Linked DNA regions of Callithrix jacchus. The protein of the gene in region 2 binds, or shares a complex with, the protein of the main gene of each other region. Links are inferred from orthologs where the notes say so. Each region holds a gene or a part of one and is shown on either strand. Other genes may lie near its edges.

The links. Proteins that work in one complex are often made in the same cells at the same time.
Region 1: PPIL2 (region 2) and ARMC7 share a complex: the UniProt entries of both Homo sapiens proteins name them as parts of the minor spliceosome. The link is inferred for Callithrix jacchus from reciprocal best matches to the Homo sapiens genes PPIL2 and ARMC7.
Region 3: PPIL2 (region 2) and SCNM1 share a complex: the UniProt entries of both Homo sapiens proteins name them as parts of the minor spliceosome. The link is inferred for Callithrix jacchus from reciprocal best matches to the Homo sapiens genes PPIL2 and SCNM1.

Annotation. Positions count from the first base shown.
Region 1 is NC_133506.1:131,045,461-131,050,724, forward strand, and holds the end of ARMC7 (armadillo repeat-containing protein 7), read left to right. Parts: intron 1-1,374; coding exon 1,375-1,736; 3' UTR 1,737-3,214; downstream 3,215-5,264. Other genes in the region: NT5C (5'(3')-deoxyribonucleotidase, cytosolic type), read right to left, coding at 3,462-3,616, 3,721-3,835, 4,016-4,076, 4,161-4,261, 4,528-4,701. UniProt on the Homo sapiens protein: As a component of the minor spliceosome, involved in the splicing of U12-type introns in pre-mRNAs.
Region 2 is NC_133502.1:193,647,667-193,654,087, reverse strand, and holds part of PPIL2 (RING-type E3 ubiquitin-protein ligase PPIL2), read right to left. Parts: intron 5,850-6,421; coding exon 5,798-5,849; intron 3,213-5,797; coding exon 3,121-3,212; exon of another isoform or gene 2,101-3,120; intron 2,095-2,100; coding exon 2,005-2,094; intron 1,855-2,004; exon of another isoform or gene 1,752-1,854; intron 1,336-1,751; coding exon 1,260-1,335; intron 1-1,259. UniProt on the Homo sapiens protein: Has a ubiquitin-protein ligase activity acting as an E3 ubiquitin protein ligase or as an ubiquitin-ubiquitin ligase promoting elongation of ubiquitin chains on substrates.
Region 3 is NC_133519.1:11,061,872-11,067,355, reverse strand, and holds the end of SCNM1 (sodium channel modifier 1), read right to left. Parts: intron 5,417-5,484; coding exon 5,328-5,416; intron 3,064-5,327; coding exon 2,869-3,063; intron 2,204-2,868; coding exon 2,104-2,203; 3' UTR 2,051-2,103; downstream 1-2,050. Other genes in the region: TMOD4 (tropomodulin-4), read left to right, coding at 4-111, 477-620, 874-1,018, 1,408-1,430. UniProt on the Homo sapiens protein: As a component of the minor spliceosome, involved in the splicing of U12-type introns in pre-mRNAs. Plays a role in the regulation of primary cilia length and Hedgehog signaling.

The DNA of each region.
Region 1 (5,264 bases), on a different chromosome or scaffold from region 2:
GCAAGGTGTGTGTCTCTGAGGGAGGGAGAGGATTGGATCAGAAAGGCACATGTGAAGGCTTATGGATCACCTCGATACTGGCTACACGGGCACTTGCTTTCTCATTGATAAACTGTGTGTATGTGCTGGTACTATTCCGTATGTGAGGGCTACAAGTCTGGTACTGCCAACCTCTGGGCTCTGAACAGGTGGATTCTTACTCCACATCACCTGTGTGTCCAAACAAGATGCGCTAATCACATCATTTCATTTCTGTGCTAGTTTTACTGGTGAAGAAACCAAGGCTTAGAGAAATTGAGTAGCTGGCTCTGGTCACCTGGTCCTCAGTGGCAGTGCTGAGATCCTCACTGGATCTGCCTGGCACAGAGCGCTGGGTGGCTACACCGTATCTCCTCCTCTTACCGATCCTGGGTCATGTCTTTCTGCTTAGAAATTCTGCTTGGCCAGGCACTGTGGCTCATCCCAAAGTGCTGTGGCTCAATCCCGGCACTTTGGGAGGTCGAGGCGGGCAGATCACGAGGTCAGGAGATTGAGACCATCCTGGCTAACATGGTAAAACCCTGTCTCTACTAAAAAATACAAAAAGTTAGCTGGGTATGATGGTAAGCACCTGTAGTCCCAGATGCTCGGGAGGCTGAGGAAGAAGAATTGCTTGAAACCGGGAGGCAGGGTTGCAGTGAGCTGAGATCGCACCACTGCACTCCAACCTGGGCTACAGAGAGAGACTGTCTCAAAAAAAATTGTTCTAAGGTGACGACGATGTATTACAGATTTTGTTTTAGTTTTTTATTTTATTTATTTGTTTTTGAAACAGTCTTGCTCTGTTACCCAGGCTGGAGTGCAGTGGCACAATCTCAGCTCACTGCAACCTCTGCCTCCCCGGTTCAAGAGATTCTCCTTCCTCAGCCTCCCAAGTAGCTGGGATTACAGGCACGTACCACGACGTCCAACTCATTTTTGTATTTTTAGTAGAGATGGAGTTTCACCATGTTGGCCAGGCTGGTCTTGAACTCCTGACCTCAGATGATCCACCCACCTCAGCCTCCCAAAGTGCTGGGATTACAAGCATGAGCCACCGTGCCCAGCTTTGTTTTACTTTTTTACATTTAAGAAATGGAAAAAAGCACATTAGCCATTGAACTGAGAAGGAAAGGGATTTGTGCCCACTTTCAGAAAGCTGGGCTGTGGCAGGCTGGAGCAGGCAGGAAGGCCTTTCTGAAAGCTTGAGAGGGCAGGAAGCTGGAATGGGCTTTGGATCCCTTGTACTGGGGCAAGCTTCTCTCTGGCCTGGGTCCCTTCCTGGGGCTCATGGGCTGGGGAGCTGGGAGGAAGGCTGAGGCTGCAGCATACAGATTCTTCCTTATTCTCCCACAGGAGGCCTGTGCAACCTGTGCCCAGACAGGGCCAACAAGGAACACATCCTGCAGGCAGGAGGCATCCCTCTCATCATCAACTGCCTGTCCAGCCCCAACGAGGAGACGGTACTGTCTGCCATCACCACGCTCATACACCTGAGCACACTGGGCCCCAGCCGCCCCCCAGAGCTGACTGCCGCACCCGTGGTGCAGTGCATGCTGCGCTTCTCCCTCTCAGCCAGTGCCAGGCTCCGGAACCTGGCGCAGATCTTCCTGGAGGACTATTGCTCCCCTAGCCAGGTGGCCGAGGCCCACAGCCGGCAAGCGCACTCTGCCCTGGGTATCCCACTGCCTAGGAGCGTGTCCCCACAGCAGCGCTGATCCATGGAGACCTTGAGACTATAGCACTCCTACTGCTGGAGACCACGGGCCTGGTGTGGACACAGGGCACAGGGGGAGGACATGCTGCCCAAGTGGTGCCTTTTCGGCCATTGGAAAGGCGAGTTCTTTCAGCAGGACAGGTATTTACACTGTGATGAAATGCCATTCAGTTAAGGAAGCCAGACTCAGAGACACATGAAGAAACTGGAGCTGCTTCCATAGGCCTGCACTCAACCCTATGTCCAGTGCCACCACTGCCAGGCGGTAGTGTAAGCAGCAGCTACGTGGTGCAGTGGCTCACGCCAGTAATCTCAGCACTTTGGGAGGCCGAGGCAGGCGGATCATGAGGTCAAGAGATTGAGACCATCCTGGCCAACATGGTGAAACCCTGTCTCTACTAAAATAAAAGAATTAACCAGGCATGGTGGCACACGCCTACAGTCCCAACTACTCGGGAGGCTGAGGCAGGAGAAATGCTTGAACCCGGTAGGCAGAGGTTGCAGTGAGCTGAGATTGCGCCACTGCACTCCAGCCTGGCGCCTGGTGATAGAACAAGACTGTATCTCAAAAAAAAAAAAAGCAGCCACATGCCCAGACCCAGAGGCTTTGCAGGACAGTGTTCTCAGCAACTGGGACTGACGCTTAAGAGAGCTACCTTCATAACAGAAAATAGGGGATTAACCTTAACAGAAGTGTCCGGAGTAGTTCTCAGGGACAGGAATGAGATGCCTCACGGTGAAAGGATCTCACCCTGGGAAGGTGTGGTGCCTCCCTTGAGGGCTGTGGAGGACGGATACCTCCCCCAGGGGCTCTCCAGGCCGGGCATTTGGGTGTGGGGATGCCAACCTGGATAACCTGTGGCCCAGCATGAATCATCTGCCCAGTCCTGCTTTCTGCCAGGCACCACATAAGGGACTCCAAGATGATGGGGGTCCCTGCCCTTGAGTGACATGGCCCAGTGACTTCATGTGGCCATCAGGCATCAAGAAAAGGCCATGGGAGTGATGACACATCGGAATGGAGGCATAACCCTGGGGAGCTGCATCTTTCCCCCTCACCCTCCTCCTACGCTGTCATACTCAGTGATGGGGAGCCCCTACCCCAGAAGTACATCTCGTGAGGGCATCAGGGACGCAGTGAAAGAGTGGTGCTCAAGGGAGACAGGAAGAGACAGCAACATAAAGGATGTGGCTCCATGTGCGCGATGTGCCCTGGTCAACAGAAGGTACGTGGGACCCGATGGAAAGCTGGAGCTCAGGGAAAATGGGGGGTTCTTGCCTCTTGTGTACCCCTTCAAGGCTGACCCCTTAGATGGCCCAGGACTGGCAAGTGCTACAGGAATGGTATCCACAATGGGGGTGGAAATGGGGTAGATTCGGGGGCCACTGGACTCAGAGGGAAGGGCAGGGCTCATCAGCATCCACCCAGGGAACCTGTCCCTTTACACTCCCAAATAAAGCATCCTAGAAGACTAGAAAGCCAAGGTCTTTTATTAAAAGGGTCCTGACTAGTTTTCCCACCCTATTTGCATGCCAGCCAGGGTCCAGGGGCAGCCTCTCGGGAGGTACCAGGGGCTGGGCCTGTGGCCTGGCAACACAGAGGTTATGGTGTCTACCTGCTCCATTCCACGGGGCCAGCGACCAGCACAATGCCACCCTGACTCGGCTCTGCGGTGGCCCCTGCGGGCCTGCCCTTCAGCTTCAGCCGCTGCCCGCGGCATCCCTCTCATTCCCTCTGCGCAGCTCCTCGCTTGCTGTCTAAGATCTCCCTCCAGTTGTCACTCCAGGAGAGCAGCCGTCTCCTTGTTGGGGGCAGGACCAGGTGCCGATTGTGGCAGCAGGTGAACAAGATGTGCTCCCAGCTTGGGGTCTCCTCATGGCCTAGGACAGGAAAGGCAGCCCGCTGTCATCTGGTTATTTTTACTCCCCCTCCCTACTCCGGGTAGGCCAGAGGCCTGAAGGCTGCCAAAGATGACGGATCCAACCTCGAATTGTGTCCTTGTCATCAATGAGCAGGTCCCCCAAGACCACCGTCTTGTCCCTTGTCAGGATAATTCGCTCTAGGAACTGGGGCCCCAGGTGCTGCTCCACCCAGCGGTACTGTGTAAGAGACACAGGTCTATCAGTAGGGCCTGATGGGAGCCGGAATTCAGGGGCAAGGAGTGGGGCCTAAGCCCTTGAGAGCCCGCCCCCCACCCCCAACCTTCTAGTTCTAGTGGTTTCTTTTTAAAATCAGGATTTAGGCAGCTCCATGTGCGGTGGGGGGCCGGGCAGCCACACCTTCTCACCCACACAGTGGTCGTACTTCAGCAGGGGACTGGTGCAGATGAAGACCTCCGTGCTACGGAGGAGGAGGACGTGGTCACTGCTGGGAGCCGGGAGTCCGAAGCCCACCCAGGCCTCCGCCCGCCCTCGCCCTCCTTACTCCGGCAGGTCGTTCATCTCCCGCACGGCGTCCAAGGCCCCCGGGATGGGCTCCAGGTCCAGGAAAAAGCCTGGGGCTTCGTACACACTGGCCACTTTGTCCTGAAAGACAAGAGATCTGAGTCCCGGTTTCTGCCTCTGACAGAGCCAGCTCCAGCGAGGACTCGCAGGGAGCTTCCTAGGGGCTCCGGGCTCCGGCTCAGGGCTGCGGAGGGGGCTTCGCTCAGGGGCACGCGCCCAAAGACTCCTCCCCAGGGTGCGCTGCCCGCGGGTTCTGGGGTGAGAGCTCTGCTCCATTCACACAGAAGAGGTGGCCCCGCGAACGGTGGTAGCCGGCCCTGCCCGGGTGGGGACCCCGCGCCCCCTACCGCCAGGTCGGGCCGCAGGGCGCGGTACTGCTCGCGGGCCAGGAAGCCGCGGCGCTGCTCCAGCGGCACGTGCGGCTCCCCGGGGAAACGGTCGCGAAAGCCCCGCAGGAGGCCGGTCTCGAAGTCAGCCAGGACGCCGTCCATGTCCACCAGCACGCGTACGCGCCGCGCCATCGCCGCCAGGCAGGGACTGCGGGCTCGTAGGGGCACCAGCCCGGCCGGAAGCGCGGGGAGGAAGGGGGAGGGAGAGCAGCTTCCGGAGCCGCGACGCTAGGCGGGGCCGCCGAGTTTATTTGCATAGAACGCTGGGCCCTCGTAGACTGGTGCCATTGCAGGTGGCCTTAAAGTTACGTGAGGCCTTCCTAGGGCCAGGGTGCAGGGACGGCTCTGAGGGGTCTTTTTCTGACCCTGCGATTCTCGTACTCAGCCTTTGTCCCCATCAGCCGCCTCCCAGTTTACAGCAAATGTTCCCCACATTACTAGTAGGGGACCGACCTTCCAGGGGTGCAACAAAGGGGTGCCCTGAAATACTGGGAAGCGCCGAGCGCGGTGGTTCACGCTTGTAATCCAGCACTTTGGTAGGCCGAGGCGGACTGATCACCTTAAGTCGGGAGTTCGAGACCAGCCTGACCGATAAGAAGAAACTCCCATTTACTAAAATACAAAAATTAGCTGGGCACGGTGGCGCATGCATGTAATCCCAGCCACTCGGGAGGCTGAGGCAGGAGAATTGCCAG
Region 2 (6,421 bases):
TAATTTTTTTTTTTTTTTTTTAGACGGAGTTTCTCTCTTGTTACCCAGGCTGGAGTGCAATGGCACGATCTCGGTTCACCACAACCTCTGCCTCCTGGGTTCAGGCAATTCTCCTGCCTCAGCCTCCTGAGTAGCTGGGATTACAGGCACATACCACCATGCCCAGCTAATTTTTTTTATTTTTAGTAGAGACGGGGTTTCACCATGTTGACCAGGATGGTCTCGATCTCTTGACCTCGTGATCCACCCGCCTCGGCCTCCCAAAGTTCTGGGATTACAGGCTTGAGCCACCGCGCCCGGCCCTGTAATTTTAAAAGTTATTTTGGGGCCGGGCACAGTGGCTCATGCCAGTATTCCCAGCACTTTGGGAGGTTGAGGCAGGTGGATCACCAGGTCAGGAGATCTAAACCAGCATGGCTAACACAGTGAAACCCTGTCTCTACTAAAAATACAAAAAAAGAGCCAGGTCTGGTGGCATCTGCCTGTAGTCCCAGCTACTTGGGAGGGTAAGGCAGGAGAATCATTTGAACCCGGGAGGCAGAGGTTGCAGTGTGCCAAGATTGCACCACTGCACTCCAGCCTGGGCTACAGAGCAAGACTCCGTCTCAAAAATAAAAGGTATTTTTAATTAAAACAACAGAAATGTTTGTGGGTCTTTTCAGATGTGAAATGCCCCATTCTTGCCCACTCAAGAGGGTGCCTCCTGCCTACTGGGCCTTGGACAGCAGCCTGCTCTGTGGAGAGGGTCAGGCATTCCTGTCCAGAGAATACAGGCCCAGCCCAGCCCCAAACCCTGGCCTCAGACTCTTCTGACTCAATCTCCCCCAGTCATGTGCTCAGCCTCCCTAAAACCCAGTTCACACAACTCTTGTCAAGTACCCAGGCCACTGCTCTGCAGCACGAGGCCAAGTGACCTCTGAGCATGAGTCCTGCTGGCTCCTCCGAGGTTACAGGACAGCCACCAGTGGCTAGGAAAACAGGAGGACCCTGTCACCCCACCACCTGCCCACTGAAGGCACCAGACAGTGCAGAAAGCAGGGGAACCTGCGCAGGCATCCTGGCAGGGCAGCAAGTCTATCCCACATGTTGTTTCTGAGGCTGCAGTTGACTCGGATTCTCTGAACACTGGCTTAGAAAATGCAGGATTTATCTGGGCTGGAACCCCTGACTCCCAGGAAGCTGGGGGCTTTGCCCAGGGAACACTGTCCCAATTTCCCCCAAATGCCTCCTCACCTAGCCCAGCCCCTGGTTGTACATACCTGGGTCTATTATTTTCATGTTATTCTTAACATGATAGAAGTTAGAGACATTGAACTTGTCCAAGTTGGTGGGGTCCTGTGGCAAAGAGAGAACACCCAGCAGAGTGAACCCAGCCTGCGGCCAAATGGCAGCCACATGTAGCAAAGGACGGGCAGGTGTCAGAGGTAGGGGGAGTCAAGCAGGGCATGGGGGAGGATGGTGGTCTGCCCCAGGCAGGGCAATAAGCAGGAGCAGGGACAGGGGCATAGCCTTGCTAGGTGCTGGCCGAGCTGCGACCTTCCTCCAGGCACACTCTAACGAGCTGTTGGTCACTGTTAGGAAGCTACTGGATAGGAACATGGGCAGCCATGGGGCTGACGTCTGGTTAGAATGGGACAAGCCACAGAGGTGACCGACTGAGCAGGCTGCCCCAGGCCGCACTCTAGCCATCACCTGCTTTTTTCTAAGTCGTGTTTTTCATTAATTCACTTGGGGTTCTCTGATATCTGCAGGGAGGTCTGTGCCAGACACCGAGGCCCATAGCTCACCACGGTTCCAGCCCTCAAGGCACTGGAACAGAACCAGGCCAGCAGAATGGCCATTCAGATGCCTCAGGTAGCTTTGGGGACAGGTATGAGGGGCCCTGACATGGGGGTCGGGGATCAGGGAGATGTGAGAGCCAGGCTACGGAGGTGGCCCCTGCAGAGGCCTGGGCTGGCTGTGGACACTGAAGGCAGCTGGGGCAGGTGGGCAGGGGACACTCACCTGGAGGGTGATGATGTCCTGCCGGGAGAAGGGCTCATCGCTTAGCAGGTCCCGGAAGTTCTTGGCCTTGATATTTAGCTGTTCCACTGCCTACAGCCAGGAAGAAGTGGTGTTACGATGCATGCCCCAAGCCTTGGCACAGGAGCCTGCGAGCAGGGAGGCCCAGAACTGGCACCATGACACCATTTGAGAGGCGAGGAACGAGAGAGACAGCAGTGTTCACCCCACTGATTGAAAGCAGTGGCCCCCACAAAGGCGGAGCTGGCTGGGCATCAGACGATGTGCCAGTTCAGCCTTGCAGCAACCTTCCTGCAGGAAGCTCTTGTCTACATATTGATCAGCAAAGTGGCTGGGCGAGCCACCCACCCACTCGCTGAAGCCTTCACTGACTACTTCCCATGCACAGGCATGGTGCCAGGCCTGTGGGCAGGGGCTGTGCACATGAGATGCCTGCACTCCTGGGGCCCAGTATAGCAGAGTCCTCAATCCACTACGAGGACCAACCATGCCAGTCTATGTAGGCTTCTGGCAAGAAGTAGCCCCTAAGGTCCCTGGAGCAGCGCTGGCCACCTATACTCCACCAATGTCCTGGTGCAGGACTGAAAATGGCACAAAGGTCGGGGCTTTCCTGCCACATAGGGCCTGTCCCGCCTCACCCCTGAGAGGAGGACCCATGTGTGAACATGGCTGCCTCCTCTCTTCCTACACCCACTCCCAGACAGAACTCCTCCAGGGGACAGCTCCTTCCTGGACACAACTGGCTCCATCGAGAGCCAGGGCCAGCACTCCTCTCACACCGTTCTCAGAGCACGGTGCCTTCCCAGCACCTAGGTTTTGCTGAAGATGCAGAAGGACCCCCTGCGAGATAAGGGTCCCTGCTTGCCAGCCAGGACTGCCTGATTCCAAAGGATGCAGCTCCCCCAACCCTATTCTTGACCTGCCTGAAATCTGGGAGGCTGTCATGCCAGAGCTTTGGCAGAGGCCGGTGCCTGTGGCTGTGACTGTAAACCCCACAAAGACAGGCCATGCCCGCAGCACAGCCCAGCCCATGTATCCTGGGAACACACAGCAGAGATCTCCCCACCGTGGTCTCCAGGCCCTGGAGCAAGGACACACCTCGTAGGCGTAGACGTTGCCGGTCGTCCTCACAGCCACGATGTGGGTGTTGTTGGTGAACACGGTGAACAGCACTGGGCAGTGGTACTTCCCTAGAGAGAAGGCACACACGGGGAGGCCAGTCACCTCTGTGGGCACTTGGGGCCAGGACAAGTCAGGACAGAACGCGGCCAAAGTTAGCGATGGGAGGAGGTGGAACCCCGTCAACTGCCAGAGTAGGGAACCAAGGGGACAGCTGCTTAGCCCCTCAAGCCCCTCCATATCATTAGGAAACTCCTATTCATCCCGCAAGGCCCAGTCCCTGCAGCATCTTCCTCACATCCTCCAGCACACCTCTGCTGACCGCCATGCTAGTCTCCTCCTCTTCTTGAAGTTGGCCCTCAGCAAGAAACAACCCATGCTCCAGTCCTGACGGCTCCACCTCTTACCCGCATTCCCCGCCAACCCCCTGCTCAGATCTTCCTTCAGAACTGCCCATCCCCTTGCCCGGCTACTGTCTCTTTTTTTGTTTTGTTCAGTTTTGAGATGGAGTCTTGCTGTGTCACCTAGGTTAGAGTACAGTGGCGTGATCTCAGGTCACTGCAACCTTTGCCTCCGGGGTTTAAGTGATTCTCCTGCCTCAGACTCCCAAGTAGCTGGGACCACAGGCATGCATGCGTCACCACGTATGGCTAATTTTTGTATTTTTAGTAGAGACAGGGTTTCACCATGTTGGCCAGACTGGTCCGGAACTCCTGACCTCAAGCCATCTGCCTACCTTAGCCTCCCAAGCCTTGGTTACTGTCTCTCTGCCTGTTAAGTCCCCACTGGGTGGGGACTTGAGCCCTTAGGGAGACCTCATCTCTACAAAAATGAAAATAAAAAAAATTAGCTGGGGCGGGGCACAGTGGCTCATGCCTATAATGCCAGGGAAGGTATGTCTGTGCCCAGGCAGGAGTCTGCGGCAGGGGCTGGAGTCTGTGATGGGCACAGGGGAGGCACATCACACTTCCTCTCTCCACTTTCATCCACGAAGAATAATTCCAATTAACAAAGAAACAAAGCAGACTGGCCTGTAATCCCAGCATTTGGGAGGCTGAGGTGAGTTGATTGCTTGAACCCAGGAGTAAACTTGGCCAACAGTAAAACCCTGTCTCTACAAAAAACACAAAAATTAGCTGGGTGCAGTGGTGGTGCCTGTAGTCCCAGCTACTTGGGAGGCTGAGGTGGGAGGATTTCTTGAGCCAAGGAGGCAGAGATTGCAGTGGGCTGAGACTGTACCACTGCATTCCAGCTTGGGTGACCGAGTGAGACCCCATTTCAAAAAAAAAAAAAAAAAAAAAGGAAACAAAAGAAAAGAAGCTAATTGCCATGTCAAAGTTTAAAAAAAAAAAAGCCAGACCTCACCCCTCCCTCAGTGGCTCCCATCTTGGGCAGAAGCCCAAGTCCTCCTGTGGCTCCCAGGGCCCACAGGACTGCTCTGCACCTGTCCCTGCCCCAACCTGTCACCACATCCCCTGCTTTCATCATTAGCACATGCTGTACCAGACATACTGGACTCCTGGCTGGGCACAGACACCCTCAAGCATGTGCCCACCTCGGGGTCTTTGCACTGGCTGTGCCATCGGCCCAGCCCTGCGCTCCCCTGAGCCTCTCATGGCTCTCCCTCCCTGAAGTGTGTCAGGGCGGCCCTCTCCTTGCTGTGCTCTCCACACGGAAGCAGCCTCTGGCATACCCTGCTGAGCTGCTCTCTGGCGTTCTTCCCCACCAGAACACATGCTCCTCTCAGCAAAGACTCAGCCTGTTGTGCTCTCTGCACATGGCAGGCACTCAATAAATATTTGCTGAATGAGAGACATACACTGCTGATCACAGACAGGGAGGCAGCCCACCTTCGGCCACCAGGGTGCAGCTCCCTGTCCTCCACCTTTGTCAATGACATGCTGAAGTTCACTCACTCATTTACCTGCGAACGCAGCATCAGCTAGGAACCGGGCTCTAGGCTCAGACAAGTGGGGCAAAAGGGCCATGGCCTCACATGCTACAGCATCTCCCTGGAATGCATGCACCCAGTGAGCATGGACAACCCCTAAATCATGGGATCTGCAAGGGCAGAAGACCTGTGCTAGAACCTAGGACAAGGTCAGCACCTGGGCAGGGGTGAGCTGTGTACCTCATTTAAGAATCTGACCACAAGAGCAGCGCAACGTGTGTAAGGGACATGAAGCAGGAGCTGCTGAGCTGGGCTGGGCTGGGCTAGGCCCTATGAGCTGTAGTGAGGAAACGCCCAGCCTGAGAGCTACCCGACAAATCCCTCCAGACCACCACATTCCCTCCCCAGCTGCTGCCCTAGTTCCCAGTGCAGAGCAACTTCTGCCTCCAAACAGACCACAGCCTCAGCCAGAGGAGGCCCATGCCCTGCAACTCCGACTATGCCCACAAAGGCCACTGGCAGCTCATGACGGCCCAATCACCTTTGTGGAAAGTTCCCAACACCCAAGATTCTGCCCCCTCCCATCTCCAGCCTAAAACTACCCAGATCTTTGAGAAGAAATCCTGTGACACTTTTTGAGGACTAAAAGCAGGTATCCAGCTTGGTCAGAAAGGAATGACTGATTCCATATGAGACCTGGTGAGAGCCAGGAGCCTGGGTCGTCGGCAAGCCAAGCCTAGAGTTGGCCCCAACGGTTCCACTCACCTTCACTGTTCTTGGCAAAGTTCAGCTTGATCAGGGACCTCCCGTCCAGTTTCTGGAAGAAGCAGAGTTAATAATGATAATGAATACGTGACTGATGCACAGAGATACTGGGGTCAAACAGAGATGGGCTGAAAAGGTCTCTGACCAGCCAACTCTGGGCAGCTCTGGACAAAAGGGAAGGCCCCAAGCCCCTGCAAGGACCTCATGTGGGCTGCAGGATGGCATCAGGCGGTTGTGTTTATGTGGCACCCCCACCATTCTCTGTGAAGAGCCATCACGGGTGATTCCGAGCTGAGACCAGGCCGCTGGGTGGTGGTATATTTCTGCAGGGTTTGGACATTTTTATGGTGAGCACAGATTACTTCTAAAATTAAAAAATGAACAAATTTCCCCAGGCGCAGTGGCTCATGCCTATAATCCCAGCACTTTGGGAAGCTGAGGCAGGCAGATCACAAAGTCAAGAGATTGAGACCATCTTGACCAACATGGTGAAACTCCATCTGTAGGAAATACACAAAACGTAGCTGAGCATGGTGGCAGGTGCCTGTAGTCCCAGCTACCAGGGAGACTGAGACAGGAGAATCGCTTGAACCCAAGAGGCGGAGATTGCAGTGAGTCGAGATC
Region 3 (5,484 bases), on a different chromosome or scaffold from region 2:
TAGGACATCCCGATAGCCATGCTAAGCGAGCTGTGCGAGGCAATGAAGACAAATACCTATGTGCGGAGCTTCAGTCTGGTAGCCACGAGGAGTGGTGACCCCATCGCCAATGTAAGGCTAGTTGGCATCCCCAGCCCTCTCCCCACATCTCCCAGGCACCCCTTGCGGGACTCATCAAGGGTGTTGCTAGGGAGTGCTATTCTCATCAGCCTTCTTAGGGCAGCCCTCAGGGAGACTCCTACCCTCAGTGCCATGGCTCATAACTCTCAACCTCTCTAAAAGCCCCAGTCTCTCTAACAGCACATGAATCTCCCTACTTTCCACTGCTATCCCCCTTGCTTTCTGTATCCCTGTAGCCCCATTTACAGCTCAAGGACTCTTCTCAGAGTTTGTGTTTCCCTCTTGCTCCTGTTCTTTCTCTCCTCAGTCATCTGTGACACTGTTCCCTAATCCTAACCCAAGTCCCTACTACCCAGGCAGTGGCTGACATGTTGCGTGAGAATCGTAGCCTCCAGAGCCTAAACATCGAATCCAACTTCATTAGCAGCACAGGACTCATGGCTGTGCTGAAGGCAGTTCGGGAAAATGCCACACTCACTGAGCTCCGTGTAGACAATCAGGTCAGTATTCCCTTCCCCTGATGCTAGCATTCAGTCTCACTGAGTTTCCACACCGAGGCAGCCACTGAGGCAGCTATCTTTTTTCATCTCGTTTGAATTCTCTTCATTGTCTGCATGAGGGAAGCCAAGTCAGCATCTCTCTTCACCTACTGTGGAGAAACAAGCCTCTTTGACTTCCCAAAGGGATCTGTGGTCTGGGATGGTAAACAGCCCAGAGAGGGTGACTGTCAGCTTTTGCCTGTCCCTCCCCCAGCGCCAGTGGCCGGGTGATGCGGTGGAGATGGAGATGGCCACCGTGCTAGAGCAGTGTCCCTCCATTGTCCGCTTCGGCTACCACTTCACGCAACAGGGTCCACGTGCTCGGGCAGCCCAGGCCATGACCCGAAACAATGAACTACGTGAGTAACTGCAGACACGATGTGTGGGGTGGGCGGGGAAGTGCAGAAATGGGCGGGTCCTCCTGAAAGCAGACCTAAAGACTAACAGCCCAGGGTGCTTCCAAAGAGGTATTCACATGCAAAGTTCAAATCTCAACAGTGATCAGAAAGGAGACAGAAAACTCCACCTAGAGGGAGAAAGAATGCTAGAGATAGGAATACATGTTTAGAGGTATCATCATTTCGTTTGTGGTGTGGTTTGGTTTGTTTTGTTTATGTGGGATGGGCCTGTAAGGTGGCCTAAGACACTACCAATTTATAAGTTTGGCTAAGGGATTGGAAAGGAGAAGAGTCTTTGCAGAAAGCAGGAGCTGGAACCAACACTTAGGGTTAATCTTCCTGCTTTACAGGTCGCCAGCAAAAGAAGAGATAACACTGCATTTCCCTTTGCCAACCAGAGCTGGGAGCACTGGACACTTAAATCCTCATCTGTCCTCCTTTCCTGTAAATAAAAGCCCTTCTGTCCATTTTGCCTGCCTCCTTCCTTGGGCTTTCGGTGGGAATCTTGGCGCTAACCCCCAAGGGTTACTGCCAATTCACCAGGGGATTATTTATACTCTGGGGATCATCAGGCAGGGAAGTTCAGGTTACCAGTAGGAGGTGGGGGAGCTCCCTCCCTTGGTGTTCCCCATAACCTTGCCAATGCCTTTAGACTCTTCTACATTCTCAGGGTACTTAGCCTCAGCCCTGTTTCCAGATGTGGCCAGGTGCCCCCGGTGCCTACCCACAGTCTTCATGTGATTTGAAGGGGAAAGGACTTTAAATGGTAGTGGAGAAGGAGGCAGACAACATGAAGGGCAAAGACCTCTTTTAGACAGTCTTATTAATAGGGCACCGGGCTGACGCAGCTGACGCCTGGCATGGCTTTGGTAGAAGATGGGGGAGGGGTTAGAAGTATGGAGAGCTGTGTACATTGCAGGAAAGCAATAGCCAGAATGAGAATGAACAGATCTGAAATCCTGAGATCCGACAAGAAACCAGACTTCAGGAAAGTTAAGTTCTCAGCACCCCCTGCAGTTTATTTGTGAATGAATGGGAAAAGGCTGTCAGTCCAAGGGGTAATCAGGTGGTTCCTCCTCATCAGAGTCAAACTCAACATTTTCATCTTTTACCCATCGACCTCTTCCATCTGGGATCCATCCAGAGCTGAAAAGATCAGAGAAAATGGCATTGATCAGGAAAGAGGCTCATTAAGAAGTCAGTGGTGAGCTCACACCTGTAATCCCAGCACTTTGGGGGGCTGAGGTGGGTGGCTCACCTGAGGTCAGGAGTTCGACCAGCCTGACCAACATGGTGAAACCCTGTCTCTAGCAAAATAGTTAGTGGTGAGAAAAAAATTGAGAGTCATGTAAGTTGGGTGGCTAAAACAAAATGGAACCAAAGATAAAAAACAAAAATAGAAGTAAAAAAAAAAAAAAAGACTAGGCCGGGTGCGGTGGCTCATGCCTATAATCCCAGCACTTTGGGAGGCTGAGACGGGTGGATCACGAGGTCAAGAGATCGAGACCATCCTGGTCAACATGGTGAAACCCCGTCCCTACTAAAAATACAAAAATTAGCTGGGCATGGTGGTGCGCGCCTGTAATCCCAGCTACTCGGGAGGCTGAGGCAGGAGAATTGCCTGAACCCAGGAGGTGGAGGTTGCAGTGAGCCGAGATCGTGCCATTGCACTCCAGTCTGGGTAACAACAGCGAAACTCCGTCTCAAAAAAAAAAAAAGACCAAAAATAAGAAAAATTAAATTGAATACCTTTGAAAAATAGACGGTCAGAGAGAAAAGAAAATCTGAGGAAACTGATTGGGCACACTCACCTTCGAAGGGTGAGATAATGGTTCAGGGCTCGTCTTCTTGTGGGGCTCACAGGTGCAGGGGCTGAGACAGTTGCTGACTCCTCGGCCTGTGGGCCAGCCCCAGGCTCAGGTTCCCTACTGATCTTCCCACTTTGGAGTTCGACCTCTGAGGGTGGCATAGGGGAAAGGGAGACAGAGGGACCAGGGGCTTCTGGTCTAGGTAGAGAAGAACAGTCTGTAAAAGCAGTAAGGCTGAAAGGGCCAACTCTCCTATGACTCCCAACCGCTTAAAACTGTGCTTCTTAAACTGTATGACTCTATTTCTCAAGATATTAATAAGTTCTGCCTACAAAGGATTTTAGAATCATGAATTTGAGAAAGGCTAGCATAAACATTTTTAGGTTTTTTTTTTTTGAGACAGAGTTTTGCTCTTATTGCCCAGGCTGGAGTACAACAGCGCAATCTCAGCTCTTCGCAACCTCCGCCTCCTGGGTTCAAGCAATTCTCCTGCCTCAGCCTCCCAAGTTGCTGGGATTACAGCTATGTGCCACCATGCCCAGCTAATTTTGTATTTTTAATAGAGATGGGGTTTCTCCATTTTGGTCAGGCTGGTCTCAAACTCCTGACCTCATTTTTAAAATATACTTAAAATATACTGTTATTGGGCCGGGTGTGGTGGCTCAAGCCTGTAATCCCAGCACTTTGGGAGGCCGAAGCGGGTGGATCACGAGGTCAAGAGATCGAGACCATCCTGGTCAACATGGTGAAACCCCATCTCTACTAAAAATACAAAAAATTAGTTGGGCATGGTGGTGCGTGCCTGTAATCCCAGCTACTCAGGAGGCTGAGGCAGGAGAATTGCCTGAACCCAGGAAGCGGAGGTTGCGGTGAGCCGAGATCGCGCCATTGCACTCCACCCTGGGTAACAAGAGTGAAACTCCGTCTCAAAAAAAAAAAAAAAAAAACTTACTATTCTTCAAGTAGAATTACAAAGTGCCATTTCCCAAACTTTATTTAAAAATCACAAAATTCGGCTGGGCACGGTGGCGCACGCCTGCAATCCCAGCACTTTGGGAAGCTGAGGTGGGCAGATCACAAGGTCAAGAGATTGAGACCATCCTGGTCAAGATGGTGAAACCTTATCTCTACTAAAAATACAGAAAATTAGCCGGGCATGGTGGCAAGCACCTGTAATTCCAGCTACTCCAGAGGCTGAGGCAGGAGAATCACTTGAATCCAGGTGATGGAGGTTGCAGTGAGCCAAGACTATGCCACTGCACTCCAGAGTGAGACTCCATCTCAAAAAAAAAAACAAAAACACATCCTCCCTCCCTCTCCCCCTTTCTTTCTTTCTTTCTTTCTTTCTTTCTTTCTTTCTTTCTCTCTTCTCTTCTCCTCTCTCTCTCTCTCTCTCTCTCTTTTTTTTCTTTCGAGTGTTACTCTGTCACGCAGGCTGGAGTGCAGTGGCATGATCTCAGCTCACTGCAACCTCCAACTCCTGGGTTCAAGCAATTCTCCTCTCTCACCCTCCCGACAGGTTCAGGCAATTCTCCTGTCTCACCCTCCTGAGTAGTTGGGACTACAGGTGCCCACCACCATGCCTGGCTAATTTTCTGTATTTTTAGTAGAGACAGGGTTTCATCATGTTAGCCAGGATGGTCTCGATCTCCTGACCTTGTGATCTACCCGCCTCAGCCTCCCAAAGTGCTGGGATTACAGGCAAGAGCCACCACACCCAGCCCCCACCATTTTTTTTTTTAAGACGGAGTCTCACTCTGTCACCCAGGCTGGAGTGAAGTGGCATGATCTCGGCTCACTGCAACCTCTGCCTCCCAGGTTCAAGCGATTCTCCTGTCTCAGCCTCCCGAGTAGCTGGGGATTACAGGCACACGTCACACACCCAGCTAATTTTTTATATTTTTGGTAGAGATGGGGTTTCACCATGTTGGCCAGTCTGGTCTTGAACTCCTGACCTCAAGTGATCCACCTGCCTCGGCCTCCCAAAGTGCTGGGATAACAGGCATGAGCCACTGTGCCTGGCCAAAATTCTCCTTTTCTTGAAACACTAAGTAACATCTCCGGAATACCAGTGTTCCTTAGAATACACATTGGAGAACTTTTTTTTTTGAGACGGAGTTTAGCTCTTGTTACCCAGGCTGGAGTGCAATGGCGCGATCTCGGCTCACCGCAACCTCCGCCTCCTGGGTTCAGGCAATTCTCCTGCCTCAGCCTCCTGAGTAGCTGGGATTACAGGCACACGCCACCATGCCCAGCTAACTTTTTGTATTTTTAGTAGAGACCGGGTTTCACCATGTTGACCATGATGGTCTCGATCTCTTGACCTCATGATCCACCCGCCTCGGCCTCCCAAAGTGCTGGGATTACAGGCTTGAGCCACGCGCCTGGCCTCACATTGGAGAACTTTTAGAGCCATCTTTCTCCTTCTGAGCCTTCCGACCTCTGGCTTTCCCCTCCCATACCTGTACTTCCGGCGGCAGCAACTGTTATAGTCGGGGGCTCTGTGCAGAGCACTCTGGGTGATAAGTCGTGTCTGGGTTAGCAGAGGAGCCTGATAAGGAGATGGGAGACAGAGTCAGAGGCTTCAGCCCTCTTCCCTTCCAGCCTGGTGTGTGCAGC